4 linked regions of the Anolis sagrei genome follow. The protein of the gene in region 3 interacts with the protein of the main gene of each other region in a pairwise test. Links are inferred from orthologs where the notes say so. Each region holds a gene or a part of one and is shown on either strand. Other genes may lie near its edges.

Region 1 (7,500 bases), on a different chromosome or scaffold from region 3:
GAGAGAAAGAGGGAAGATTGGCCACAGCAACACGTGGTGGGTCAAGGTTGTTATTTCTATTATTATTATTATTATGCTATTGTTCCTCTGAGACCCTTTTAGGGGGAATGGGAGAGGTGTCAGGTCCCGGAGGCAATGCATTGCATTATTGTTATTGTTATGATGGTGGTGAAATAAAAGGAAATAAAAAGTGAAAGAAGGAAGCAAACAGGGAGGGAAGAAAGGCAAAGGAAGAAAGGGGGAGGGAATGAAGGAAAGAGAGAAGGATGAAACCAAGTAGTGAAAGAAGGAAAGAAAGAAAGAGGTAGAGAAGGAAGAAAGGAGAGAAAGGGGGAGGAAAAGGGGGAAGGAATAGGTAGGGACCTCTCTTTCATAATAGTCCAGATATCTACCTCAACTTTGATAAGTTTTACTATAGGCCACAGCAACGCGTGGCAGGGCACAGCTAGTGTACCTATAAAGGTGAGGAGAGGGGAATGTAGTCACTTTTGCTCATATAGGGCAAACACTCCCCCTGCTGGTTAGACACCTCTGACTTCTTCCTGGTAGAAACTGAATTAGTACACAATCACATAGTAATAGAACAAGCGCTACAATGAATGGCATAGTTCTGTACATTTCCTTAGATGGGATACACAATGTCCTTAAAAGGGAATTTCCACTAGGAGGCAAATGGGCGGTAACATTTAAAATTAACAAAATCCACATGCAATGGCACAATCAGGATTCTAAATCACAACAACAACAACAACAACAACAACAACAATTTTATTCTTGTAATATTCTAAATTTCAAACCTGTTGTCCATCTTTGATGCCAAGTTTCTCTGCTAGCTGTCTGTTTATTTCAACAATGTTGCCACTACACTGACGACAATGCCTGATTTCTGTCCAGCCCAGGAACACAGTCTGATTGTCCCAGGAAGTTTTCACAGCTTGATCCTGTTAATTCCATTTAAAATGAGAGAAAGGAGAGGGAGTAACAGCATGCATCACTCATTATTCTTTGTCTGACATCAACAAGTGGCTACAGATACAGTACTTTTGTAACTTGAGTCTATGAATGCTTATCGTAAGGGCATTAGCCTCCTAGCTCCACGCTCAGATTGTCACACTTTCCCTTGGCTCTATGTAGGAATTTGTTGCACTTAGGAATCATTAGTCCGAACCCATCATTTGTTGTTCAGCCATGATGTTGTTTGATTATGATGTTTTTATTTGTTTTTGCTGTTGTTGATGATTATATTTATATGCTTGTTCTAACCTGTTTTGGTGGGCATGTCCCCTTGTGCACTGCCTCGAGTCCCTTCAGGGCGATGGAGTTATTACTTTTATTATTATTATTATTATTATTATTATTATTATCTATAGAGTATTAACATTTCCCAGATGTTAATGTTTCAGAAGAGTTTCTGCTTCCTTGTTTTCTCTGAACCTTTTCCTTGCAGATTCTTTCTGTCAAAAAGATCCCCCATAAGTGTTTTCTTTGCTGTTTTAATTGTGATATTTTACTTGTATATTGCTTTCCCAGATGCAGCGTAACAGGCAAATATGGAACTATGGAATGACTTGACGATGGGACTGGAAAATGACTTTAGTAAGAAGATGCTGATGATTTATGTTTTTATTGCTTTTATATGGTTTTTATATTATATGCTAAATGTTTTTAACTGTATTTTACGTCTGGTGGGGCATCGAATTATTGCCGACTGCAAACCGCCTTGAGTCACTTTCGGGCTGAGAAGGGCAGTATACAAATCATAGAATCATAAAGTCACAGTGTTGGAAGAGACCTCGTGGGTCATCCAGCCCAACCCCCTGCCAAGAAGCAGGAAAATAGCATTCAAAGAACCCCCGACAGATGGCCATCCAGCCTGTTTAAAAGCCTCCAAAGAAGAAACCACCATGACACTCCGGGGCAGAGAGTTCCACTGCTGAACAGCTTTCACCGTAAATAAATAAATAAATAAATGAGACAGTGAAACGCTGCCCCTCTTTTCTCACTCTCATGCAGTCCATAGGCACCAAGGGACATTTTTAAATTCTTCCAGTCTCTAAAATTTTAGGGATCATAAACTACTATTGGTTAGTTTGGTTGCAACAGTGCACTTGAAACTTTGTTGTGGGATTGGGAGCAGAAAACCATCTCACTTCATGATCCTTTGTTTTGGACTAAGAGGAGGGCGACTAAAATTATCAAGGGTCTAAAGAACAAACCCTATGAGGAGTGGCTTAAAGAGCTGGGCATGTTTAGCCTTCAGAAGAGAAGGCTAAGAGGTGACATGATGACCATGTATAAATAAGTGAGGGAAGTCATAGGGAGGAGGGAGCAAGCTTGTTTTCCGCTGTCCTGTAGACTAGGATGTGGAACAATGGCGGAAAGGAGATTCCACCTGAACATTAGGAAGACCTTTCTGACTGTGAGAGCTGTTCAGCAGTGGAACTCTCTGCCCCAGAGTGTGGTGGAGGCACCTTCTTTGAAGACTTTCAAGCAGAGACTGGATAGCCATCTGTTGGGGGGCAGGGGGGTGGACTGGGTGGCCCATGAGGTCTCTTCCAACTCTATGATTCTATGACTTTACACTGAAATAATAACAATATTATAGAACTAGTGTGGCCTGTTTTTGGAAATGTTAGAGAATTGCATTGCTCTGTGCAGTACTGTCATGAATGACTTTTCAATAACTTTGAAGCATAGGTTCTTTTTATTGCAATTTCCAGTGTAAGAAGGTATATCAGATTACAGAAAAACATTTAGACAAAGAATGACATTAGACATACAGATTCTATGCAACTACATTGGATTCATAACTACATGGCTAACAAACAAAGGGAATTACATTTTCACTCAGCATTCACACCACATGCACACACATTCATCCTCATGCACCCAAATATTACCATATAATTTTCTCCCTCCTTGGAGAAGCACCTGTTAGGCCAGACCCTGCTTTCCTGCAGCCTGCCAATACATAGTTCCATAACCGCATTGAGTCGCCGATTTAGGCTGAAAAATGCGGTATAAAAATAAAGCAAATAAATAATAAATAACACCAAAACGTCTTTTCCTAAGAACAATGCCAAGAACCAGATCTCTGTTTTCAATACAGCAGAACCTGCCTCCCTGCACAAAACCTAAGACTCCAAAAGCACACTTCTTCCTCTTCCCTTGAGAAAGAAGCCCCAAAGTGACCAGACTGCTCCCGTTCAAATCTGCCACTATCCATTGGTTCACTATCTCTCTCCTTCCCATGGAGCAGAGCACAGCGGGTGAACCAGATTCGTCAGGTTGGTCACAATTTGATCATTATTAGACTGAGTCTTTTGTAGGAATATTCTGTTGATGTAGTCCCAAAGTTGTAAATTAATGATAGATGTCTTCCATCCTGGATCCATCTCAGTTTCCTGGCCAGATGTTGACTCTTCTTGATTGGCGATGGCAACCACAGGGCTTGTGTTGAATTCCTTCTTAACATAAGGAAGATTGCAAACATTTCCTTTATCAATGTCCCAGTTCTTATCAGGGTTTCTCACTAGCAAGTCCAGCAAGCAAGTAGTTAGTCATTGCAGGCCTGGGTCTTTTACTGGTATTTCCAAAATTATTAACTCCATACATCCTTCCATTCATTCCCACACATCATATTAAATTCATATTTGTCAAATCTGCACATTGAATTTCTTATGACAGTACAACTAGTAAAGCATGAACGTAGAATACTCTTAAGGCGGGCCTGGGCCAACTTGGGCCCTTGGGGTTAGCGGCTGAGGGGGGAAAGGAAAGGGCCTGAGGCTGTTAGGAATGGTGGGAGTTGAAGTCCAAAACACCCAAGGGCCCAAGTTGGCCCAAGCCTGCTAAAGAGTTGCTATAAATAGGAAACCAAAGCTCACTACGAGGAGGCAAGGACCACGGCTAGGCCTTTCCTGTTGCCAGGCAACGAGATGCCAGGCTAGGAAGGAGGCTGCCCAAAAGAGAGGCCCGGATGTCACCTCAGGGACACGGAAAGCGAAGTCCCGGATGCAGCCTCCCCGTCCCTGCCCTCCTGTACCTGCTGCAGACGGAGGCTGGAAGCCAAGCCAGGCGGCAGGTGCAGGAAGCAGTCCCGGGCGCCGCTCAAGGAGACAGTGGCGGCGGCGGCGGCCACCCCAGGCCCGCCCGCCCCCCACATGGCGGCCTCCAAGGCGGGCTGGGTGTCACACGAGTGGGCCGCCGAGCTCCTCTTCCGGCTTCTCCGCTCAGGCCAATGACATCCAGAGGACTCCTTCCAGCCCGTCGCTTGTGATTGGCTTTGCTCCGCTCCGGGGGAGGAGCCAATGAAAGCGGGCCATCCGATTGGTGGTCTGTGACAGAATGATGTTTACAACTTGCCTCCCGTTCCTCGCTTGTGATTGGCTGGGGCGCTTCACCCCCCCATCTAATCCTTTCCTCCAATACCGCTCGCCTCTGGGGCGGGATCAACGCAAGCTCATCACTGGATTGGTTGTTGTTGACGGGCGGAAGAAGCCGGAGCATGAGCGGGTCGGAGGGAAAAAATGGCGACTGAGAAGAGCAGAGGCGGTGAAGTCGGGGGCGCCCACCAGCACCACGCGCAGCTGGGCATCTGCGCTTCGCGGGCCAAGTATCGCGAGGGGCGCCGTCCCCGCGCTGTGAAGGTGAAACGCCATCCATTCTACGCGCAGCACAGCCACACCGAAGCATTGGAGCGGTTTGGCACCGCTTTCGTTGGCATGGCTCAAGGCGATGGGATCATGGGAGTTGTAGTTGGCACTAGAATTGAATTTTATCTCTCACACAAGACTACAAACCCCAGAATTCTGTAGCACTAAGCCATGGGGGTTAAAGCGGTGTCAAACTGTTATATCTCTGCAGTATGCTTGCGCCCCTAATTTCTAAATGTAGTGTTTACTAATCCCTGGCCTTCCCAAGTTAGAATCATAGAGTTGGAAGAGGCCTCCTGGGCCATCCAGTCCAACCCCCTGCCAAGAAGCAGGAATATTGCATTCAAAGCACCCCCGACAGATGGCCATCTAGCCTCTGTTTAAAAGCTTCCAAAGAAGGAGCCTCCACCACACTCTGGGGCAGAGAGTTCCACTGCTGAACGGCTCTCACAGTCAGGAAGTTCTTCCTCATGTTCAGATGGAATCTCCTTTCTTGTAGCTTGAAGCCATTGTTCCGCGTCCTAGTCTCCAGGGCAGCAGAAAACAAGTTCGCTTCCTCCTCCCTATGACTTCATCTCACATATTTATACATGGCTATCATGTCTCCTCTCAGCCTTCTCTTCTTAAGGCTAAACATGCCCAGCTCTTTAAGCCACTCCTCATAGGGCTTGTTCTCCAGAACCTTGATCATTTTAGTCGCCCTCCTCTGGACACATTCCAGGTTGTTAATATCTCTCTTCAATATCTCCCAGAACTGGACACAGTGTTCCAGATGTTGTCTGACCAAGGGAGAATAGCATTACTTCACTGGATCTAGACACTATAGGAAAGGGCCTGAGGCTTTAGGAACTGTGGGAGTTGGACTCCAAAATACCCACAGGGCCAAAGTTTGCCCAGGTCTTCTAAAGAGTTGCTATAAGTGGGAAACGAAAGGTCACTACGAGAAGGCAAGGATAACTGCTAGGCCCTTCCTGTTGCCATGGCAACAAGATGCCAGGCTAGGAAGGAGGCTGCCCAAAAGTTTGCCCATGCCTGGTCTTAGGTCTGGGTATGAATCATGTCCACCGTCTTCACCTTAGCATTAGGATTCAGTGCTATCTGTGTTTTGGTGACTAGCTGTGAGCTGTATCACACTATATGATATTTATTGTTGAAAGTTTTCATGGGTGGAATCACTGGGTTGTTGTTGGTTTTTTCCGGCTATATGGCCATGTTCTAGAAGCATTCCCTCCTGATGTTTCGCCTGCATCTATGGCAAGCATCCTCAGAGGTTGTGAGGTCTGTTGGAACTAGGATATTTATTTATCATATCAAAAGCAAACCGAGGGTACAGCTGTAATGTAATTAAAAAAACAACAGAAGAGTTAAAAAACTTGGCATTATACTGTTAGAGACCCTAATTTGGGACTTAATACTAAGGTCTAGGCCACGGGAGGCGCAAGGAAAGAGGCAGTCCCAGGAGGAAGATCAAAAGCAAAGTTTTATTCTTTCATGATCATGAAGGAGTCGGACAGTCGTGTAGGACACGCGCAGGCGCCCACACTTCATAAGGACTGCCGCGCCTCCTTGACAAAAGCAAAGCTTTTATATAGTCTGGTAAACAAGAGTATTTTTGTCATGGAAAGTTACCCGGTGGCGCAGTGGGTTAAACCCCTGTGCCGGCAGGACTGAAGACCGACAGGTCGCAGGTTCGAATCCAGGGAGAGGCAGATGAGCTCCCTCTGTCGGCTCCAGCTCCTCATGCAGGGACATGAGAGAAGCCTCCCACAAGGAGGATAAAAACATCAAATCATCTGGGCGTCCCCTGGGCAACGTCCTTGCAGACGGCCAATTCTCTCACACCAGAAGTGACTTGCAGTTTCTCAAGTCGCTCCTGACATGACAAACAAACAAACAAAAAGGTGTCTTTACTTCTGCTCCTCTTAGTCTCTCTCCTATCAATAGTTCAAAACATAGGTTTGTGCACTTTGCCTGGTTTCCTGTTGTTCTCAAGGTGTTAGGCTGTCAAAACCACAATTTGTTCTCTACTTGCAGACTTCGGTGTCGCGCCAAACCGCAAACCAATTTCCTATATAGCTGAGCATTTAGCAACTTAATAGTTTTCTTATACTTATTCCTCCTTCAATACTAAATGTCCTTTGACCAGTAGCTGGCCACTTGGAGTACCTCTAGTGTTGCTGTAAAAAGATCCTCCTTTGTGCGTGGGGCAGGACTCAGGCTGCATTGTAATACATGGTCTGTGCTTTGCTCTTCTCCGCACTCGCATGTCATGAACTCCACTTTGTAGCCCCATCTCTTAAGGTTGGCTCTGCACCTCGTGCCAGAGCGCAGTCTGTTCAGTGCCTTCCAGGTTGCCTAATCTTCTGTGTGCCCAGGGGTGAAGTCTCTCATTGGGTATCAGCGGAGGCTTGAGATTCTGGATCTTAGCCTGCCACTTTTGGACTCTTGATTGCTGAAGTGTTCCTGCAAGTATCTCTGTAGATCTTAAAAATTTTCCTTGATTTAGCGTTGGCGTGCTAGTTGATATCTGAACAGAGGATGAGCTGGAGATGTCACTGCCTTGGTCCTTTCATTACTGGCTGCTACTTCCCAGCAGATACGAGATGGTAAAGTACCAGCTAAGCAGTGTAATTTCTCCAGCAGTTCTGGGTGTAGGCGTCCTGTGATAATGCAGCACGTTTCATTAAGAGCCACATCTACTGTTTTAACGTGGTGTGATATATTCCACACTGGGCATGCATATTCAGCAGCAAAGCACAAGGCCATGAGACATGGGAGAAGCCTCCCCGCAGGATTGGGTTTCATAGGGTATAAGTATTACAATTAAAGTGTAATCTTGGTGCTA
Region 2 (7,011 bases), about 69 Mb from region 3:
TGGAAGGGCCCCAAGTTACAATGCTGTGTGGAAGGGCCCTTAGATAATCCAGTTCAAAGCAGATATTGTGGAATTTTCTACCTTGATAATTCTGGGGTACAGTGCTGTGTGGAAGGGCCCTTAAATAATCCAGTTCAAAGCAGATATTGTGGAATTTTCTGCCTTGATATTCTGGGATATAGGGATGTGTGGAAGTGCCCTAAGGCTGTCTTTCACATAAAACCAGCCATCACTGACTGCAGGTAGAGAAGAGGTTAAAAACCCTCACATTTGCAGGATGGCAACACTTTCAGAGCCCTACAATTGCAAGAAATTGAAAGTTTTTGGGTGGACTAGGCACTATTTTTCTGAGGATGGTTTTGTGTCTGAATTCAAAGAGCTTCTTTGCATGACAAGTGAAATCTGACTATGCTTTTGATGGCCTTTCAAGGCCTTCCTTTGAAAGGCGAAACTCACCACTGCCAGATCTAAGGGGCAAGGCAACATGTGGGAAGGCTTGGATTTCCCCTACTAGATCAGCGTTAACATTTCTCTTGGCAGCAAGTGCATCTGCTTGTAAAGCTTCCCCGCAGGGTTGCTTTGAAGGTGCCTCACAGCCTTGCAACCGGAGATCCTGGAGACGCCAAGCTTGAGCTACATACATGCAAAGCATGCCTCCTGCCAGTGGTTTGCGGTGTGTGTGTGTATGTGTTTGCAGGCGATGTTACTGGGAGCAGCATTGAGATACATGCCCTCCCTTTCCCGCAGCACCCTCTCAGGGAACCTTTCCCTTTGGCACCCGCAGCTCCTGCCACAGAAAGGTCAGGCACTAACTTTAGCTTCTCTCCCAGGCACCAGAGATGTGGCAGCCTGATCTGGTTACAGCTTTGAGTCTCCCGCACATCGCAAGCAGAAGGTCACACATTCTTGGGTGGACCTTTCCATAGGCTTTCTGGGATGGGGGAAGGAAGGAAGGAGAAAAAGTTCTCAAGTCCCTGCGGCTAGGGCTGCTTCCTGCCGGCTGTGACTCAGCAGCCCAGCTCCGGAAAGTCAGTAAGTAAATGAGTCACCAGCCCTTTTGCTCTTCTCCACGTGTTTTCCCTGCCCCAGAAGTAGGCAAAAGGAAATGGAGGGAGCCAGGAAGATGGGGATTAAAAGGTGGACCGTTTGTTTAAGTGGGCAGCTGTTGCACAGGGCAAAAGGAGAAGAAGGGGACTTCTCTTGGAAGAAAACAGCTGCAGGGTCCCTTTGAGAGGGGGAGAGACACAAGAGGTGACCTTGAGATGTCCTTGTGAGGGACAGAAGGCAGCACTGTCTGCCGGCCAAGAACAGGAGGGAGGGAGGCTTCCCTATTGGCTGGGAAGGTCTCCAAGGGCTACCCCTCAGAGACAGACGAAGAGGCCTAAGAGAGGGAGGGGCTTCCCCCCTGTCCATCCCAAGTCCTGCCCCTTTCTGCCTGCCATGCCCAGGCTGCCCTCCCGCACGTCGGCCTGCCTTTCCCCTTTCCCCACTCACCCGTTGACTCCGATTTTCACCATCTTGCTTTCTGGAAAAGGTGATTCTGGAGGAGGGGGAAAAAAGAAGAAAAGGGTTCAAACCAAGGATGATTCCCGACAGAGGTTTCCCTAAAGTCTTGAGACAAAGGGCCCTTCCACAGAGCCCTATATCCCAGAATATCAAGGCAGAAAATCCCACATTATCTGAATGTGGACTCAGATAATCCAATTCCAAGCGAATATTATGGGATTTTCTACCATGATATTCTGGGTTATTAGGGCTGTGTGGAAAGGCCCAAACCCTCCAAGGGCTCCCTCTCTCCAAAGGCTCTTCCACACAGCCCTAGAACCCAGAATATCACAGGAAATCCCATATTATCTGAGTTTCAAGCAGATCTTGTGGTATTTTCTGCCTTGATATTCAGGGATATAGGGTGGTCTGAAAGAGCCCAAACTCTACAAGAGCTCTTTCTCCCCAAAGGCTCTTCCACACAGCCCTATAACCCAGAATATCACAGGAAATCTCATCTGAGTGCGGACTCAGATAACCCAATTCCAAGCAGATCTTGTGGGATTTTCTGCCTTGATATTAATGGATATAGGGCTGTGTGGAAGGGCCCAAACTCTCCAAGGGCTTCCTCTTTCCAAAGGCTCTTCTACATAACCCTATAACCCAGAATATCACAGGAAATCTCACATTATCTGAGTGTGGACTCAGATAACCCAGGTCCAAGCAGATCTTGTGGAATTTTCTGCCTTGATATTAATGGATATAGCGCTGTGTGGAAGGGACCAGACTATCCAAAGGCTCTTCCCCACAGCCCTATATCCCAGAATATCAAGGCAGGAAATCCCATAAGATCTCCATCGAACTGGTTATCTGCGTCCACGCTGCCATATACTCCAGTTCAAAGCAAAAAAACGTGGGATTTCCTGCCTTGATATTCTGAATTATTGGGCTGTGTGGAAGAGCCTTTGGGGAGAGGGAGCCCTTGAAGAGTTTGGGCCCTTCCACAGCCTTATATCCCTATATTCTGCTGTATGGAAGAGGCTCAAAAGATAAAACTTTCCCTAAAGTTAGAGAGGGGCTCTCTAGATGGGGAAACTTTGCAGCCACCGCCACGCCCCTATTCGGAGGCTCCTAGAGGGGAAATGAACCCACCCCACCCCTTCTAGAAGGAAGGAAGGAAGCCTCACTTCCTGGAAGGCGATCAGCCCCAACTGGGCGCCTGAAACTTGTTGCAACTTTGTCCTCGCGCTCTTGACTCAATCTAGGCACTGCCTGCCCTCCTTTTGGGGCCCCTCTTTCTTCTCAGGCCGTACCCCGACCCCTATCACTGTGCGAGCCCTGGCTTTGGGGGGATCCCTAGGAGGGTCCAGGCCTCCCTCCCTCTGGTTTCCCTGCTTCTCCCCTTGGCCTTACCCTTGGGATCCTGGCCGAACTCAGCTCTGCGGTGCAGTGAGGAGGTGAAGCAGGAAAGGGGCCCTCGGTCGGGGCCTTTATAGAGTTGGCTGAGGAAAAGGAGGGGCCCGGCTCTGCCGAATCAGGGCCCGAAGGCGCAGCCCCAAATCACAGCTCCAGCCTCCTCCCCGCCCCTTCTTGCCTTCCCTACCCCACACCCCTTTCCTGGCCCAAAGGCCCTCCTCCCTCCCTTCTCCCTCCTTCCCTCCCAGGCTCACCCCTTTCGCCCCACATCGCCCCTTTGTTTCTTTATAGAAAGGCAGACTTCCCACTTCGGGGGCCTCCATGGGAGCCCCTTTTCCGAGGCTGCTAATGGGGGTGGACTGACTCCCCTTATTGCCATGGCTATCGATACTCAGGAAGGAAAGGTGCCCTTCGCCTCGGCTTAGCTCACCCCTTTGTCTACAAAGTTGGAGTCAATAGTAAAGGTTTTCCCCTGACATTAAGTCCAGTCATGTCTGGCTCTGGAGGTTGGTGCTCATCTCCATTTCTAAGCTGAATAGCCGGCATTGTCCATAGACACCTCCAAGGTCATGTGGCCAGCATGACTACATGGAGCGCCGTTACCTTCCCGCTGGAGTGGTACCTATTGATCTACTCACCAAAGAGCCAGTGTTGTCCATAGAAAACTCCAAAGGTCATGTGGCCAGCATGACTACATGTAGTGCCATTACCTTCCCGCTAGAGTGGTACCTATTGATCTACTCACTGAAGAGCCGCGTTGTCCATAGACACCTCCAAAGGTCATGTGGCCAGCATGACTACATGGAGCGCCGTTACTTTCCCGCTGGAGTGGTACATATTGATCTATGCACCGAAGAGCCAGGGTTGTCCATAGACACCTCTAAAGGTCATGTGGCCAGTATGACTACATGGAGCGCCGTTACCTTCCCGCTGGTACCTATTCATCTACTCACCGAAGAGCCGGCGTTGTCCATAGGCAAGGTAATGTGGCCGGCATGACTACATGGACCACTGTTACCTTCCTGCTGGAGTGGTACCTATTGATCTACTCACATTTGCATATTTTCAAACAGGTAAACTGGCAGAAGTTGGGGCTGACACCCAAAGCTCACGCCGCTCTCCAGATTCGAACCTGCGACCTTTTGGTCAACAAGCTCAGCAACTCAGCGGTTTAACCCACTACGCCACCGGGAGCTCCAGTTAGAGTCATAGAATCACATTATCCTAGAGTTGGAAGAGACCTCAGGAGCCATCCAATTCAACCTCTTACCAAGGAAGCAGGGAAATCGCATTCAAAGCACCCCTGACAGATGGCTACCCAGCCTCTGTTTAAAAACCTCCAAAGAAAGAGCTGCCACTACCCCCCTAGGCAGAGAGTTCCACTGCTGAACAGCTCTCTGAGGGCTCTTCCACACAACCCTGTATCCCAGAATATCAAAGCAGAAAATACCACATTATCTGAGTGTGCTCTCAGGGCCCTTCCACACAGTCCTGTATCTCATAATATCAAAGCAGAAAATCCCACATTATCTGAGTTTGAACTCAGATAACCCAGGTCAAAGCAGTTATTCTGGGATTTTTAGCCTTGTTATTCTGGGATATAGGACTGTGTGGAAGTGTTCACTGTTAGGAAGTTCTTCCTAATGTTCAGGTGGAATCTCCTTTCCTGTAGTTTGAAGTCACTGCTCCACGTCGTAGTCTCCAGGGAAGCAGAGTCTGTCAAAAACTTCTCAGTTTGGCAGAATCAGATAAAGTATCTGACCTTGTTAAAGAAAACAAATTGATACAAAGCTTTCAAGAGAATTGGCAGCCATTTCCACACTGCCCCTATATCCCAGGATCTGATCCCAAATTATCTTGTTATCCCAGATTATCTGCCAGTGGAGACTCATCTAATCCAGTTTAAAGCAGACAACCTGGAATCAGATCCTGCAATATAAGACAGTGTGGAAAGGGCCTATATATGTAACATTTTTTTTGTTGGGTTAAAAATTTCATTTTTCACTTGGTTCTATCATAAGAACACAGAAAAAGCTTATGAAACTCCAAAAAACTTTTGTTTTTGTGGGACACTCTGCATCACATTTTGCTCTAGGGCCCTTCCACACAGCCCTATAACCCTGAATATCAGGCAGAAAATCCCACAATATTTGAGTGTGGACTCAGGGCCCTTCCACACAGCCCTATATCCCAGAATATCAAGGCAGAAAATCCTACAATATCTACTTTGAACTGGGTTACCTGAGTCCACACTGCCATATATCCCAGTTCAAAGCAGAAAATGTGGGAATTTATTCAGCTCTCTGGAAGGGGCCCTGGTTTTTTCAACGAATACCTCATAAAATCTCAACCAATTCAAGTTTGTGGCAGTTTCTGGAGGATAACAGCTACTTTAAAGGAAGTACCGCACAATTAAACAGGAAATAACCCTTTCAAACCAGGAAGATACATTTTATCAAATGTTGTTACATAGTATAACAATATTGTTACCTGCCTCTCCTTGTGGATACAGCAGGATGAAAACGGAGAGATGAAACACAACACTATTATAATACATATAACACAATGCATAGGAACCCCTGGTGGTACAGCCAGTCAAACTGCTGAACTTCTGAACTTAATGACTGAAAGGTCAGCAGTTCAAATCCAGTGATGGGATGAGCTCCCGCTGTTAGCCCCAGCGTCTGCCAACCTAGCAGTTTGAAAATATGCAAATGTGAGTAAATCAATAGGTACCATTTCAGCAGGAAGGGAATGACACTCCATGCAGTCATGCTGACCACATGACCTTAGAGGCATCTATGGACAACACCAACTCTTCAGCTTAGAAATGGAGATGAGCAACACTCCCCAGACTCAGACACAACTAGATTTAATGTCAAGGGGAAACCTTTACCTTTAACAGAATACACATGTAATAATCACAATAATAAATATATAGCTAATAATAAACACATAATAACTTAATAATAAATACCTACATAATAACAATAATAAATGGGTCCACACTGCTATATAATGCAGAGGCGCTACATTTCAATACACTTCACTTTCTGAAGGAAACTTTTACACTTTGAGGCCTTCAGCATCAGCAAAAGAAGCCGAGGGCCAGGCATTTTTCCCACAACCCCTTCTTTTGTTAAAAACTCAACCAAGGGGAAGTCCTCCCATCCCTCCAAGAGTGATGTCAGCGGTTGCCAGGGTAACAAGTGGAAATTATTTGGGGGGTGGTGAGGTTGGAAGTAGTTCTCTTGACCTGCTCTATTAACTCTGCTATCTATTTATTGTGTCAGAAGCGAATTGAGGATACAGTTATAATGTATTAAACAAAATACAAACAAAGTTAAAAACTTGATATCATACTAGATTTCTTTTGACCAGAAGCTGGCCACTCGGAGTGCCTCTGGTGTTGCTGTAAGAAGGTCCTGCAATGTGTATGTGGCAGTGCTCAGGCTGCATTGTAGAATGTTTGCTTTTCTCCACACGCGCATGTTGTGGACTCCACTTTGTAGCCCCATTTCTTAAGACTGGCTTTGCATTTCGTAGTGCCAGAGCACAGCCTGCTCAGTGCCTTTCAAGTCGCCCAGTCTACTGTATGCCCGGGGGGGGGGGGGGGAGTTTCTGATTCAGTTTCTGCCACTGATTGAGGTTTCGGGTTTTAGCCTGCCACTTTTGGACTCTTGAAGTATGGAACCCTGTGCAGACGGTCAGTCAATGTGCAGTCATTGAATTATTGACAGCATAGGTATCACCCCAAAGGAGATTGCAAGCTGTTTATGGTGATTGTATTGATGTGAGTACTGTACGTCGTTCGGTGAATAAGTTTAAAGATGTTGAGGTGGGAACATCTGACTTGAGTGACAAACAAAGAGTTGGACGTCCTGTGACAGCAACCACTGAGTTTCCCAAGCAAAAGGTTGACAGATTGATTCAGGACGATCGTCGTATCACTCAGAGAGAAATTTCAAGCATAATAGGCATTTCGCAAGCATAGGATGCTTGCCATAGATGCAGGCAAAACGTCAGGAGAGAATGCCTCTAGAACATGGCCATAGAGCCCGAAAAAAACCTACAGCAACCCAGTGAATAGTGGTAGTTAAAGAGCACATT
Region 3 (7,464 bases):
GACATAGAACAACATACATGTATTTTGTACCCACGGTTGTTTTTTGATCAAGCAAAAAGAATTACATTTGAATTTTCTTTCTGTTAAGGTGAACTGTATATACAATGCCTTTAGCGCCTCACCTGTCATGCGTGGAAACTCCATTGACACTGTAGCGCATGTCCTTCGCGTACTTGATCAACAGGCACTTGTACTGCGCAATCTGGAAACGTCGGACTCTGCGCATGAGTTCGGTACTGCAAAAACAAGAAGGGAGGCTACTCAGGAGTACTTAGCACCCAGAGGAGGAGGACTGAAGCACAAAACTAGTGACTTTGATCACCCTGCCTCAAAAAACCCATAATGCCTGCTATCTCCCCAAATCGATCTCCCTGCCAGGCCCTTTGATTAACGGCATTCCTTACAATTTTACCATCAGAGAAACAGCAACATTATAGGTCTGGACAAGGCATGGGCAAACTTGGGCCCTCCAGGTGTTTTGGACTTCAACTCCCACAATTCCTAACAGCCTAACAGCCTTTAAGAATTGTGGAAGTTGGTCCAAAACACCTGGAAGGCCCAAGTTTACCTGTGCCTGGACTCTGAACATGTGAGTCCAGGCACACAGTCCAATCCCAGCTTTATAAGAAAGATAGGCAATTATTGCTATTTTCTGGTTTCCCCCCTTTCCTTACAGTTTCCATCAGCCTACCCAGCAGTAAGGAATTTGGGGAGTTTTAGTCCAAAATAACCAAATATAAAGGACACCAGTTACCTGTCCCTGCATTACAGGAAAGAAAGTGCATAGCCAGTGAAATAAAAGTAGAGTCATGGCTGACCTTCCTGGGAACAAAGATGCCACCAAGTGTGGCTCAAAACACACTCTGGCACATATCTTAACAAATATATAATCCATCAAGATATGCTTTGGTTCCTTTTTGCCTAGGTTTCTATATCACAGCCAGTTTATAGACTTGCCTTTCCCATATCAGTTTCCTCCAAATAGTTTGAACTTCTGGGTTGCTGTGAGTTTTCCTGGCCATACGGCCATGTTCCAGAAGCATTCTCTCCTGACATTTCACCCACATCTATGACAGGCATTCTCAGAAGTTGTGAAGTCTGTTGGAAACTAGGCAAGTGGGGTTTATATATCTGCAGAATAATGTCCCGGGTGGGAGAAAGAACCCTTGTCTGCTTGCGCAAGTGTGAATATTGCAATTGGCCACCTTGATTAGCATTAAATAGCATTGCAGCCTCAAGGCTGCTTCCTGCCAGGCCTTGAGGCTGCAAGGCTATGTAATGCTAATCAAGGTGGCCAATTGCAACATTCACACTTGCCTCACTTGGAGGTGTTACCTCACCCTGATTGAATCTTATCTGGAATTCCCCTCTTTTGTTAGTGTTCTTCTTTATCTACTGCCCTGATTTTGGAGTTTTTAAGTATAGTTAGCCAGATTTTTTTTTCATTTGCATGGTTTCCTCCTTTCTGTTGAAATTGTCCACCTGTTACTGAATTTCAGCAGCTTCTCTGTGTAGCCTGACATGGTGGTCGTTAGAGTGGAGGAAACTATGAAAATTTTTAAAAAAACTCTAAAATCAGGACAGCAAATAAAGAGCAACACCTACAAAGCAGGGGAATACCAGGCAGGAATTCCAGCTAACACCTCCCAACAAAGGCTCCCCCAGGCAGTAAGCAGCCAGGCTTTGAAGCTGAAAGGCCATTCAGTGCAAATCAAGGTAGCCAATTGCAACATTCACACTTGCCTCCAACAGACAGGCGTTCTTTCTCCAACTCTGAACATTATTCTAGATATATAAACCCCACTTGCCAAATTTCCAACAGACCTTACAACCAATGAGGGTGCTTGCCATAAATGCAGGTGAAACATCAGAAGAGTATGCTTCTGGAACGTGGCTAGAAAACTCACAGCAACCCAGTGATTCCGTCCATGAAAGCCTTCGACAACAGTTTGAACTTCCATTCCCAATGCTCCTATCAGGAATATAGGGAGCTGTAATCCAAAAAACCTGGACTTTACCACCTTCTGTGGCATTTTATGAAAGTGCAGGCAAGAACTATCTAGTCCAACTTCTGCTGTGCAGGAATTCACAGTTAAAGCTCACTGAGGCTGGATCTACATTATATGATCAGAATAGAACCATACAATGCAGTTTAATGTAGTTAAACCACATTATTTGGGTCTATACTAGGCATGGGCAAACTTTGACCCTCCAGGTAGTTTGGACTTCAACTCCCACAATTCCTAACAGCCTACTGGCTGTTAGGAATTGTGGGAGTTGAAGTCCAAAACACCTGGAGGGTCAAAGTTTGCCCATGCCTGGTATATATTGACCATGCAATGAAATTCCAAACTGCATTAGATGGCAGTGTAGATCCAGCCTGAGGGATTATCATGAGAACACTAGTAAATGTAATTGATAGTACTTGAACATGTAATGAAACCAGAACCCAAGTCACAGTTGTGTTCAGATACATGTTCATTTCATCTCTCTAACATACCTTTTCCCGGAGAACATGGGTCCAAAGATGACCTAAAGTGGGGAAAGAGAGAAAAAAACCGTGTTGAATTTTACCCCGTTCGTGTATTAGTTGGTCCTCCTTATCCACGGTTTCTGTATCCACTGATTTCCCCATCCACGGCTTGAAAATATAAAACCAGTCACAAAAAAAGGATGCCTTGATTTTCCCAACGTTATATAAAGGACACAATTTCCCCACTCCATTGTCTATAAAGCCCCTGACCCATAATTGCAGACCCTGCATCCCAAACTCTCATTGACCCCCCTGCCCTCCCCAGAAATATCTCCTTTTCCTACCTGGATCTGGCCCCGGGCCTTGCGAGGCGACCCCGGCTGCACCCCTGGCATCATCAAGCAGTTCATCTTCCCAAATCCCGCCGGTGTTTCAAGGCACAGACGCTTGAATCAACAGCCTCTCCTTTCAGCGCGCCGTTTTTGCCCTCTTTTATAGCCGGCGCTGACAATGGACCAATCAGAACGGGCCCTGGCACCAAACTGGCGCTCGAAAGACACTTCGGCGCGTCCTGGCCAATCACAGGCCAGGCGGGAAAAAACTACATTCGAAGTGGTTGACCGCCTTCGCCTCCAGAAGCTAAAGAGGGAAGTCTTCCTCCTCTCATGTTTTGCTGATTGGGGAAGAGGCATACACACACACTTCCGGAACTAGTCTTTTGAAACTCTTTGGTCTTATCAAAACGTCATTTTCTCCTTTGTTTGCGGAGACTTTCATCTTCATAGAATGAAACAGCTTGACCCCCGGCTCAATACCATGGAATCCTGGGAGCTGTAGTTTTCCAAGGCCTTAGCCTTTCCTGCCAAACTACAAATCACACTATTCCTTAGTAGTTAAAGTGGTTTGCAGTTTCTCAAGTCGCTCCTCACACGAAAAAAAATATTAAAGTGGGTTCAAAGCCTAAAATGTATTGTCGAAGGCTTTCATGGCCGGAATCACTGGGTTGTTGTAGGTTTTTCCGGATTATATGGCCATGTTCTAGAGGCATTTTCTCCTGACGTTTCGCCTGCATCTATGGCAAGCATCCTCAGAGGTAGTGAGGTCTGTTGAAAATACTAAACTGGGTTTATATATCTGTGGAAAGACCAGGGTGGGACAAAGGACTTTTGTCTGCTGGAGCTAGGTGTGAATGTTTCAACTGAATGTTTCAACTTGATTGGCATTGAATGGCTTGGAAGTGCTACACAGACTACACAGATAAGCCATTGAAATCCACAAGCATGTGGACAATTTCAACAGAAAGGAAGAAACCATGAAAATGAACAAAATCTGGCTACCAGTATTAAAAAACTCAAAAATTACAACAGCAAAACAGCAGAGAGTAAACAACCAGGCACATCAAATCACTCTCAACAAAAGATTCCCCCCAGGCACTTCCAAGCCATTAAATGCTAATAAAGGTGGTCAGCTGAAATATTCATGTAGGGGACCCCCTGCTTGGGGTCCTTGCTGAGTCCGTCACAGAGGGCAGCAAAATGAAGAGAGTCTAGTCTCCAGAGGTAAAGCAGAAAATCTCTTTATTTCAAGTGTGGCCACACAGGGAGAAACAGCCCAGACAGACCAGTGTCTTCAAAGAGAGCTGTCTCTGATATTTGGATATTTCAGTCTCCTTATATACATGTCTTTTCACTGTGTCATGGGCACACACCTCTCTTATCGGATCAACCATTCAAAAACATGTTTTTCTCATATTTTGCCACTTCAGTGTCTTTCACTGCTAACCTTCTACAAACTACGTAAACACACACATTATTGTTACAGATAAGCATTTTGGGTGTTAACCCACCCTGAGTACTCTCTAGGCGAACTTGACAATACAGTATCTTGTGTCTTCCAGATTCATTATCTCCTCTTAGCTTTTGGTCTTCTGCAGGCCAGAGGAGAGGCACAAACCCCTCTCTAGGTTTGCATTTTAGAATTTCAACATTTCTGAGTTCTGTTAGCCCCTTCACTCCTCCATTATTTTTTTTTTTGCGAAAGCTGATCATACAGAAGCTGAAGCAAGATCAATATCTAGTTATAACATTTTTATGATACCCCAGCATTCTTGTAATCACCACCAATTGCCACGAAGTGGGAACCGCACTTGTGGTGAACTTATCACACATCTTCATGATGATGGGAAAATACATCAAGGAGAGCTCTCGTGCACACACACATTCATTCATACTCATGCACACACAGGCCTTCTCCGGCAAAGATGATCAGTCTTTTCTGAGGAAGCGTGGACACTCCATTGCTGCAGTTCAGGAAGCATGGAGATTGTCAGGGGTCCCCTGCATTTATAGGCCAAAATCCATTTTTCTTCATTTCAACAGCAGGTTGCTCTGTCCTCTTACTAAAGGACAATATGTCTTTGTTCTCTCCAAAGTTCAAGACATTAGCATTCCAGGCCTCATGACTTATGGGGTACCTCCTGCACTCCTTACATGCTCGGCCGCATACCTCATTGTCCATTGTTGTTCAGTTATGCCTTGCTGCCTCCTCGCTTCGACTGCCAAGTTCATCCCATATCATGCCTTGCGAGAACTCCATGTTGGTTTTTCTTCAGGCCTGTTTCTTCTCTTTTCCATGCATTCAAACATTCATTCCTCACATATTCCTCCCCTTGATACATAAATGCTAATTTATCGTATCACATACATGATCCATACATGATAAGCAATTCAGTGTTGGTTATACTTATAATCAAACTTGATTAAGTGTAGAGTACATATGTTTAGGTTAATATTGAACTTGTATGATTAATCAAACATCATAGTTCATAAATGTGTTTCTAAACACGTTAACTTGTTTTCAAATATAGATAATCGATTTGTCAATCCTGTCATTTGTCTAAGAGGCCATAAGATCCAAATGATTGGCAGCAATATAAGTATCCCTATCCATACTATTAAATGTATCCTATGAAGATATCATACCAGTGGTGTTCTGTGTTTCCACCAATATAAATCATTAGGTGATATAGCACATAGGCATTACATTCCATTGTCATATACCATTGTTTTGGGCTTTAGCTTTTGTAACCTGCAGATTGCATCTGCCATTTCCAATGCACATGGTTCAACTTGTTTTACTGTTAAAGGACATACATATCCCATTTATTGCATCTATCAATATCAATTATTTCATTCAAATTTGTATATTTGGACCTTGTGCATATGGTTTTCTTGGATAACAAATATGGAACCCAGAACCATTTTCCCACATGCATAGGCATAGGAACTATATCACAAACCAAATTTTTTTCAAATATTGACCATTTTTCCCAAGGTTTCCAGTTTCAATCTTAGTATATCATCTTCCCAAGAATATTTGACAAGCTTACTCCATCCTTTATAATCTGTTCTTAACCAATAATGTAATTTTGTTAATTCTAGGAAGGCTTCTGAGTGTCCTCCCATTATTAACATCAACATTTTTCTCTCCAATCTCTCAAATTTATTTCCATAGTCAAACAACTCATAGACTTACTTATTTGTTGTAAGGTTTCATTTTTAGCTTTCATTAAAGCAACCAAGGAATGATTCAGCTGGTCAAATATACTTAATTGCAATCCGGCAGTAATCCCATGTACCAAAGCTGTACTTCTCTATTTGAAGCTCAATATTCTTCATCCGTTGTATTCTGTGTCTTTCCTTCTATCACTTGGTTGATCTGATTCAAAACATCATTTCATCCTTATTTTTTCTATACCCTTTATACAATAAATCTTACACTTTATACCATATATTGCTTTCATTTGTGTTAGAGCAATTGTTCTTTACCAGTCATGTATTATTATTATTATTATTATTATTATTATTGCACTCCTTAAAAACTATAAAACACAAACAATACATATATTTACTGTTCCAATTAATAGTCCAATTGCAATTTTTTTCATAAGCTTTGCATCCTTTTAATTGGTGGCCAGTTGCATTCCTGTTTAGAAACCAAATAAAGGGGGATATGATAGCCATGTATAAATATGTGAGAGGAAGCCACAGGGAGGAGGGAGCAAGCTTGTTTTCTGCTTCCCTGGAGACTAGGACGTGGAACAATGGCTTCAAACTACAAGAAAGGAGATTCCATCTGAACATGAGGAAGAACTTCCTGACTGTGAGAGCCGTTCAGCAGTGGAACTCTCTGCCCCGGAGTGTGGTGGAGGCTCCTTCTTTGGAGGCTTTTAAGCAGAGGCTGGATGGCCATCTGTCAGGGGTGATTTGAATGCAATATACCTGCTTCTTGGCAGGGGGTTGGACTGGATGGCCCCTGAGGTCTCCTCCAACTCTTTGATTCTATGATTCTATGATTCTATGAAAACTGTTAATTAACTTGCACAGCTTTCCAAGTTTTTCCTGGTTCGGATGAACCCACTTCTATTTATCATTAGCCTGTAATCAATAAGGATGAGGATCTTCTGCTCAAAACTGCAAACACTTTATGAAAACTATCATCAATAAGAGTGAGACTAAATAAAATCTAAAATTACATATATCATGAATGACTTTTCAATGATTTTAAAGCATAGGTTCTTTTTAGTGCAATTTCCAGTGTGTGAAGGTATATAAGATTACAGAAAACATTTAGACAAAGAATGACATTGGACATACAGACATACAGATTCTATGCAACTACATTGGATTCACAATTACATTGGTTAACAAACAAACCAGAGGTTCCCAAAAGACATCACGGCTCTGTTTCACCATTGCCTCACCACCAGTTACTTTCAGTGGGACAATGAATTCTACGAACAGAAAGATGGAGTAGCTATAGGGAGCCCTCTCAGCCCGGTCATAGCTAACTTCTACATGGAACACTTTGAAAAACAAGCCCTGGAGACAGCAACCAAAAAGCCCACGATATGGTTCAGATATGTGGATGACACCTTCACCATTTGGAGCCATAGAGAAGAAGAACTCAAACGGGTTCCTGGACCATCTTAA
Region 4 (7,818 bases), on a different chromosome or scaffold from region 3:
TCCTCCCTCCCTTCCCTTTCTCCCTCTCCCTAGTACCTTCCACCCTTTTGTCCTTCCTTCCTTCTCTCTTTCCTCCCCCCCTCTCTCCCTTTCTCCTTTCTCTTTTGTCTTTCCTTCTCTCCTCCCCCCGTTTCCCTCCATTCCCTTCCACCCTTCCTTCCATCTTTCTCTTCCTATCTTTTTTCCTTTTCTTGTTCCTTCCTCCTTTCCTCCTGGGGGATGTTTAGCTGAGAGGAGAGAAGGTAGAATCCCCTTGGGGAAATAGGGCAGGTTATAAATACAGTCTTATTATTATAATAGAGAGAGAACACAAGAGCCATGTTTCAAGATTGAGGAGGAGGGGAAAACTGATTTTCTACTGCTCTAGAGACCAGGACACAAGGGAGCAATGGTTTAAAATGGCAGGGAAAGATATTTGACTGAAAAGAACTTCCTAAGAGTAAGAGCTGTTGGAGAGTAGCATAGGCTGCCTCTGAGTGTGGTGGAGTCTCCTTCTCTGGAGGCTTTTACACAAGGGTTGTCTATTGGGAGTGCTTTGATTGTGCCTTCCTGCATGGCAGGGGGATGGACTGGATGGCCCTTGGGGGTCTCTTTCAGTGCTTGGATTCTATATCAGGAGTAGGCAATACGGGGTCGAATGTATATACTTTTTCTCTCCAGTCCACCATCTCATCCTGACCAAGACCAACCCTTTTGGGATCCAAACGTTTCCTGTCTTTCCTTCACTTTCTGCCTTTGAAAGAGAAGAGGAAGGGGAGGAAAGGGCAGGAAGGGGACTTGGGGAGAACCCCCTTCCTCCTGGCCCACCATGTGGCCCCCAAGTTAGAAAGTTTGCCCATGCCTTCAGTAGTCTCTCAGTCAATCTGAAGCCAAGCAACTGGAACTCTCAAGCAACTGGCAAAAAAAAAGTCAAAAAACTAAAACATCAAATGTAAAAAGCTGTTTTTATAATATAGTAAAATACTAAAACTGTGTTACGTTAAGTTTGTCTTTACTGTTTTAATTTTAATTTCTGCATTTGAATATTAATATCAAATCAATACAAAGTTTATGGTATGGCTTGGCACAACTAGGGATATAGTATCAGTTAGGCCTATTTTGAATAATAATTCTCAAGGAATAAAAAACTATATTTATCTGGCAGCTGCCAATCCCTGTGGTTTCTGGTTAACTGGGAAGCTACTAAATTACGTACCTATTTATCTGAAAGCTGCTGCAATATCTTTAAAGGCTTTTAAACTTTTAAAGAAAAAACACTGTGAGCTACTTCAAGGAGTAAATGTTTAAAAATTAAAAAAAATATGATATATGAACAAGCATTTCCAAACCTCAAACAAAATATAGATCTTAAGGCTAAAAGTTGAGTATTTCCCATGTGTAAAAAAAGAAAAAAAGAAAATAGCCTTCCTGAATATCTTACCAAGGTTTGGCTTGCCTGTGTACAGCTTCTCAGAGAGAAAGCTGTGATCTCTGAAGCTTTGCACTGTGTTCCCCATGGCAATGATGGACACCATAACTAGCCAGCTACGGAGCACATTCAGGAAACGGCTCATCTTGCATCACACAACCTGCTCAGGGGAACAAAGGCAGATTCTGGAGTTCATGATACCACTCTGCATCATAATTCATAGTCACATTAACTATCCTCCACCAAATGTTTGCATACTTATCTCCTAGATCAGTCGACCAAGAGTGGGAATCATTGAATTCCCCAGATGTTGCAGAACTGCAATTCCCAGCATTCCTTACAATTGCTTAAGTTGTTATCACAGCTGGGAATTGCATTGCAGCAACATCTGGAGAACCACAAATGTTCACCTTCAGAATGGACCTTTGGAGGGGGAAAACCACAGTTACATCCACCACTTTCTATAAGGATCACCTAATTAAAAAGATCATGCTCCATAATAAAGACAAAGGACCTCATCACACTAGAGCATGTATCCACTTTAAATCCAGTTTTTGCCTCCTGCAGAATTCTGGGACTTGTAGTTTAGGGGGGGGGCTTTACACTGTTCAGCCAGACACGTCCTGGGCCTCACTAAACTACAAACCCCAGAATTCTGCAGGAGGTGGATTTAAGGTGGATCCATGCTCTGGTGTGATGAGGCTGAAAGACAGAAACCTTATATCTCATCTACTGAGATATTGGCATGAGGTTAGTTACTGAATTGTCTCTGGTACCATTTCTGTACTGACCTAATTTGGGGGGAGGCGTAGCAGAAGCAACATTCAAAAATGCACACAGAGGACTAGTTGCACATCAATGTTGCTAATTCATTTGTTTTATCCCTGCACTCAGGTAGGATACATCTACTCTCTCGACTTAATACACTTTGACAGCACTTTAACTTTCATGGCTCAATGCTATAGAATCATGGGAGTTGTAGTTTTATGAGGTCTTCATTCATCTCTATCAAAGAATGCTGTTATCTCAACCAAACTACACCTTTCAGGATACCAATGCATTGAGCAATGGAAGTTAAAGTGGTTTTAAACTGCATTCATTCTATAATGTAGACACACCAATTTTTCAGTGCATAACAGGGGAGGCCAGATAACTAAGAAAAAAGGAAAGTATCAGGCAAGCAGGTGGATTTTTTTTTTTTTTGCTGTTCCTGATAGCCTGTCTCCTATTTTAATTTTAATATAGGAGCACCCACAGGATGCATATTTAGCAATAATGCACTGGAAACTTACTTTTTAAAAAATTGCAATACATCCCAATACAAAGATATTGCATTTTGGCATGCTGGAAACACCTAGCGACCATGATGTCCATCATCCTTGTCAAATGTCATTTTCTCTTGACAACTCTAATATTACCTGCCACCTGTTCCCTAACTTCATAACACCAACCCATCCACAGGGCAGTCCTCCATATGCAGCCCCCCCATCAAGGAATACCTCTATGCCTACCTTGCTCTTTAACAGGTTGTCTACCTGGTTCCCAGAGGCAGCAAGCTTTCCACCCTACCTCCAACCCAAGGAGCTGTAGCCACGCCCCCTTCGCTGCCTGCGCAATGATTGGCCCGCTGTCAGGGTTGTCGTTCTCCTGATTGGTTGTCACCTCCCACTCCAAGTCTTAGCCCCGCGCCACGCGAATGGCTGAACGGATAGGTCAATCAAATATTTTGAAAGCGATTGGGCCGTTGTGACGTCAACACAGAAGGGGCGGTTCGATGAGGCAAATTGCACCACTGCCCTCCCTTCCTGGTTATAAAAGGATATTGGACGGCGCCATATTGGAAGAGGCATGTGGAAATGAATGAGGGGGGATTGGATAGGTGCGCATGCGCAACTGGGGAAAGCGCCTCGGGCGGGAGTGAGGAGCCTGCGCTTGCGCAGACGCGCCTTCGATGAGGGAGCGAGCGAGGGAGGGAGGAAGGCGGTTGCTGGTTGGTTGTTGTAGTAACAGAGCGAAGCGCCGGCAAGAGGAGCCGCGGCTGCCGGGCCCTCCAGGGAGATGAAGCCGCAGGTAAGGGCGCCACGGGCTTCAGGAGCGGCAGAGTGGGCACTCACCCTCGGGAGGCTCCCAGGAGGAGGGCAGCAGGCGGTGTCTCCTACTCCCTCAAAGGTCCTGGGCCTGTCCTGAGGGGGGAACGGGGAGCAGCCTGCTTTGGCCCAGAAGAGAGAGGCCGCTCAGGGACACGGCAACACGGGCGGGAGGGGGAAGCGACTTGGTTGGACTACAACTCCCAGAATCCCCAAGTCCCCACGCTAGATTCAGTATCTATAGTGTTTATTTATTATTTATTTATTTACTTTGATTATATACCGCTGTATCTCAAGCCCGAAGGCGACTCACGGCGGTTCACAAACAGTAAAAACAGTAGAAACAGCAGTGGTTCCATACAACATATAACAATTGACTTAACACATTATCCATAAATTACCAATAAGCAATTACAATGCACAATTATTACAAAAAACAACCGTACCCAATCTTCTCATCATCCAAGCGTAGTCCAGGTTCGTCGTCCATTGTTCCATTCCTATGTTCCATTACCAGATTGCACTAAATTACTCAAACGCCTGCACAAACATCCAGGTCTTCACCTTTTTGCGGAATACCATTAGAGATGGTGCTAGTCTAATGTCCGTAGGAAGGGCGTTCCACAGGCGAGGAGCCACCACCGAGAAGGCCCTATCTCTCGTCCCCGCCAGCCAAGCTTGAGAAGCAGGCGGGATCGAGAGCAGGGTCTCCCCGGAAGATCTCAAACTCCTGGTGGGTTCATAGGCAGAGATGCGGTCAGATAGGTAGCTTGGGCCGGAACCGTTTAGGGCTTTAAAGGCCAACGCCAGCACTTTGAATTCAGCCCGGTAGCAGATCGGTAGCCAGTGGAGTTGGCGCAACAGGGGGGTTGTATGCTCCCTGCGCTCCGCTCCTGTTAAAATCATGGCTGCCGAGTGTTGGACTAGTTGGAGCTTCCGAGCTGTCTTCAAAGGCAACCCCACGTAGAGAGCGTTGCAGTAGTCTAAACGGGATGTAACCAGAGCGTGGACTACTGTGGCCAAGTCAGACTTCCCAAGGTATGGGCGCAGCTGGCGCACAAGCTTTAGCTGTGCAAATGCTCCCCTGGTCACCGCCGAAACCTGGGGTTCCAGGCTCAGCGATGAGTCCAGGGTCATACCCAAGCTGCGAACCTGCATCTTCAGGGGGAGTGCGGCCCCATCCAACACGTGTTTAACATAGATTTAACATAGATCAAGTGTTTAACATAGATTTCAAATTATGTAAACAAAACACAGTATAACCCAGGCATGGGCAAACGTGGGCCCTCCAGGTATATTGGACTCCAACTCCCACAATTCCTAACAGCCGGTAGGAAAAGTGTTCCTGCCATACATCAAGGGAACCACTGACCGCATAGGGAAACTGATGAGGAAACACAACATACAAACAATCTACAAATCTCACTGTACACTGTCTTCTTTGTTGTTGTTCACCGCCCCGAGTCGCCTTCGGGCTGAGAGGGGCGGTCAATAAATGCAAGAAATAAATAAATAATAAATAATACAAACCCACCAAGAAAATCCAACAAATGCTACGTTCAGCAAAGGACAAGAGGGATCCTCTCACCTCTGCAGGAGTCTACCGTATACCATGCAGCTGTGGACAAGTCTACATAGGGACCACCAAACGCAGCGCCCAGACACGCATCAAGGAACATGAAAGGCACTGCAGACTACTTCAACCAGAGAAGTCAGCTATAGCAGAGCACCTGATGAACCAGCCTGGACACAGCATATTATTTGAGAACACAAAAATGCTGGACCACTCTCACATCCACCATGCCAGACTACACAGGGAAGCCATTGAAATCCACAAACATGTGGACAATTTCAACAGAAAGGAAGAAACCATGAAAATGAACAAAATCAGGCTACCAGTATTAAAAAATTCTAAAATTGCAACACCAAAAAAGAGAGAAAAACAGGCAGGGACATCTAATCACCTTTCAAGAAGAGTTTGCTCCAGGCACAGTCAGCCCATTGTATGCTAATCAAGGTGGTCAGTTGAAAGATTCACACCTAGCCCAAACTTACAAAAGCCCTGTGTCTCACCCTGGTCATTCCACAGATATATAAACCCCTTTTTTCCCCAGTTCCAGCAGACCTCACCTCTGAGGATGCTTGCCATACATGCAGGCGAAACGTCAGGAGAAATGCCTCTAGAACATGGCCATATAGCCCGAAAAAACCCACAAGAACTGAGCTGGTAGGAATTGTGGGAGTTGAAGTCCAAAACACCTGGAGGGCCCAAGTTTGCCCATGCCTGATATAACCACACTTGGTCTCTCCAGGTGTTTTGGACTTCAGCTCCCACAGTTCCTAACAGCCTGTAGGAAATGTTAATCATTTCCACTACCTTGGCAGCCACCTCTCCACAAAAGTCAACATTGACACTGAAATACAACACCGCCTGAGCTCTGCGAGTGCAGGTTTTTTTCCGAATGAAGCAGAGAGTGTTTGAGGGCCGGGACATCCGTAGGGATACCAAGGTGCTTGTTTATAAAGTTATTGTCTTCTCAACCCTGCTATACACCTGCGAGACATGGACTGTCTACAGAAGTCACATGCAACTCTTGGAACGATTCCATCAGCGCTGCCTCCGGAAAATCCTGCAAATCTCTTGGGAAGACAAGCGGACAAATGTCATCGTGTTGGAAGAAGCAAATACTGCCAGCATTGTAACCCGGGACCGAAGGCTGGAGACCTCAGTACACTATACCTGGGACGTCGACCTCTTCCACCGAGCGCGCAGCTTCGGGAGGGACGCACATGGAGGTGAGGGAGGAAGGGGACACCTGCCTAGCCAGCCAGATCAGCCGAATCAACCCTGGCGATCAGTGGGGTGACAGATGTCGCAGCCAGATCGCCCTCACATCCCTGCCAGCATCGAAGCAATGGTCCTCCGCCATCAACTCTGCTGGACCGGCCATGTTGTCCGGATGCCTGACCACCATCTCCCAAAGCAGTTGCTCTGCTCTGAACTCAAGAACAGAAAATGGAATGTTGGTGGGCAGGAAAAGAAATTTAAAGATGGGCTCAAAGCCAATCTTAAAAATTCTGGCATAGACACTGAGAACTGAGAAGCTCCAGCCCTTGAGCGCTCCAACTGGAGTCAGCTGTGACCAGCAGTGCTGTAGAATTTGAAGAGGCATGAATGGAGGGCAAAAGAGGGAAGCGTCCCAAGAGGAAGGCGTGTCAAGCCAACCCCTTCAGGACCGCCTTCCACCTGGAAACCAATACCCTCACTGCGGGAGAAGATGCAGATCAAGAATAGGGCTCCACAGTCACCTACGGAGCCACCGCCAGTACACTGATCATGGGAGACTATCCTATTCGGAAAACAAGGGATCGCCTAAATCAAAATGAAATGATAGGAATTGTGAGAGTTGAAGTCCAAAACACCTGGAGGGCGCAAGTTTGCCCATGCCTGCTCTAGCAACTATTAAACACACATTCTACACTCCCGCCATCTCCCTCCACCAATATACATACATATCTGAGAGTGACATGGTTTTAAAATGTGATTTTCTAGTGATTGCAATTCACAGGTGTCTTGTTTTCAAAGAGGCCTTGCTTGCCAGAAATTGCTGATGCTTAGAAAATGCTGCCACAGAGAGAAGTTCACTACCTCTACTCATTACTCACCTCACTACCTCTGAGGATGCTTGCCATAGATGCAGGCGAAATGTCAGGAGAGAATGCCTCTAGAACATGGCCATATAGCCCGAAAAAACCTACAACAACCTAGTGATTTCGGCCATGAAAGCCTTTGACAATACAGAGAAGTTATTATTGTCTATGTTTTCCATGGCTCAATGATACAAGTTGCTAGATAATACTGCACACCCTCCCTCCTTAATTTCTCACAGGCATGTAGAGAAACACCAAACAAGTAGATAAGTTGACCTGTGGCTCCACAGCTCAGGGTCAGACATTTAAACTGTACTATTGTTATAGGCGTCTGCTGTTGGAAAGATAGAAGAACCAAGGAGATTCCATAATTGTCAGCTAAGGCCAATGAGATGATTGATTTCTGTATACCAATCAAACTGTGCCTTCTGTTTTTAATGAGAGTCATAAATATTAATGTAAACTAACTTTAGGTAGGACAAACTCTTTGATCACATTCTCATGTGCGTGTTTGTCACTATTGCTGTTGTTGTTGTTGTTCATTCGTTCAGTCGTCTCCGACTCTTCGTGACCTCATGGACCAGCCCACGCCAGAGCTCCCTGTCGGTCGTCACCACCCCCAGCTCCTTCAAGGTCAGTCCAGTCACTTCAAGGATGCCATCCATCCATCTT

Evidence for each region.
Region 1: the proteins of TK1 (region 3) and RBM48 interact in a two-hybrid assay, tested with the Homo sapiens proteins (2 studies listed by BioGRID and IntAct). The link is inferred for Anolis sagrei from reciprocal best matches to the Homo sapiens genes TK1 and RBM48.
Region 2: the proteins of TK1 (region 3) and GAPDH interact in a two-hybrid assay, tested with the Homo sapiens proteins (2 studies listed by BioGRID and IntAct). The link is inferred for Anolis sagrei from reciprocal best matches to the Homo sapiens genes TK1 and GAPDH.
Region 4: the proteins of TK1 (region 3) and ERG28 interact in a two-hybrid assay, tested with the Homo sapiens proteins (2 studies listed by BioGRID and IntAct). The link is inferred for Anolis sagrei from reciprocal best matches to the Homo sapiens genes TK1 and ERG28.

Annotation. Positions count from the first base shown.
Region 1 is NC_090026.1:102,564,793-102,572,292, reverse strand, and holds the start of RBM48 (RNA-binding protein 48), read left to right. Parts: upstream 1-4,500; 5' UTR 4,501-4,529; coding exon 4,530-4,649; intron 4,650-7,500. Other genes in the region: peroxisomal ATPase PEX1, read right to left, coding at 798-941, 4,046-4,165. UniProt on the Homo sapiens protein: As a component of the minor spliceosome, involved in the splicing of U12-type introns in pre-mRNAs.
Region 2 is NC_090022.1:197,266,905-197,273,915, reverse strand, and holds the start of GAPDH (glyceraldehyde-3-phosphate dehydrogenase), read right to left. Parts: upstream 3,006-7,011; 5' UTR 2,899-3,005; intron 1,541-2,898; 5' UTR 1,518-1,540; coding exon 1,495-1,517; intron 1,033-1,494; exon of another isoform or gene 770-1,032; intron 1-769. UniProt on the Homo sapiens protein: Has both glyceraldehyde-3-phosphate dehydrogenase and nitrosylase activities, thereby playing a role in glycolysis and nuclear functions, respectively.
Region 3 is NC_090022.1:128,418,838-128,426,301, forward strand, and holds the start of TK1 (thymidine kinase, cytosolic), read right to left. Parts: upstream 3,016-7,464; 5' UTR 2,884-3,015; coding exon 2,818-2,883; intron 2,533-2,817; coding exon 2,501-2,532; intron 237-2,500; coding exon 123-236; intron 1-122. UniProt on the Homo sapiens protein: Cell-cycle-regulated enzyme of importance in nucleotide metabolism. Catalyzes the first enzymatic step in the salvage pathway converting thymidine into thymidine monophosphate.
Region 4 is NC_090021.1:305,424,178-305,431,995, forward strand, and holds the start of ERG28 (ergosterol biosynthetic protein 28 homolog), read right to left. Parts: upstream 3,008-7,818; 5' UTR 2,920-3,007; intron 1,569-2,919; 5' UTR 1,554-1,568; coding exon 1,421-1,553; intron 1-1,420.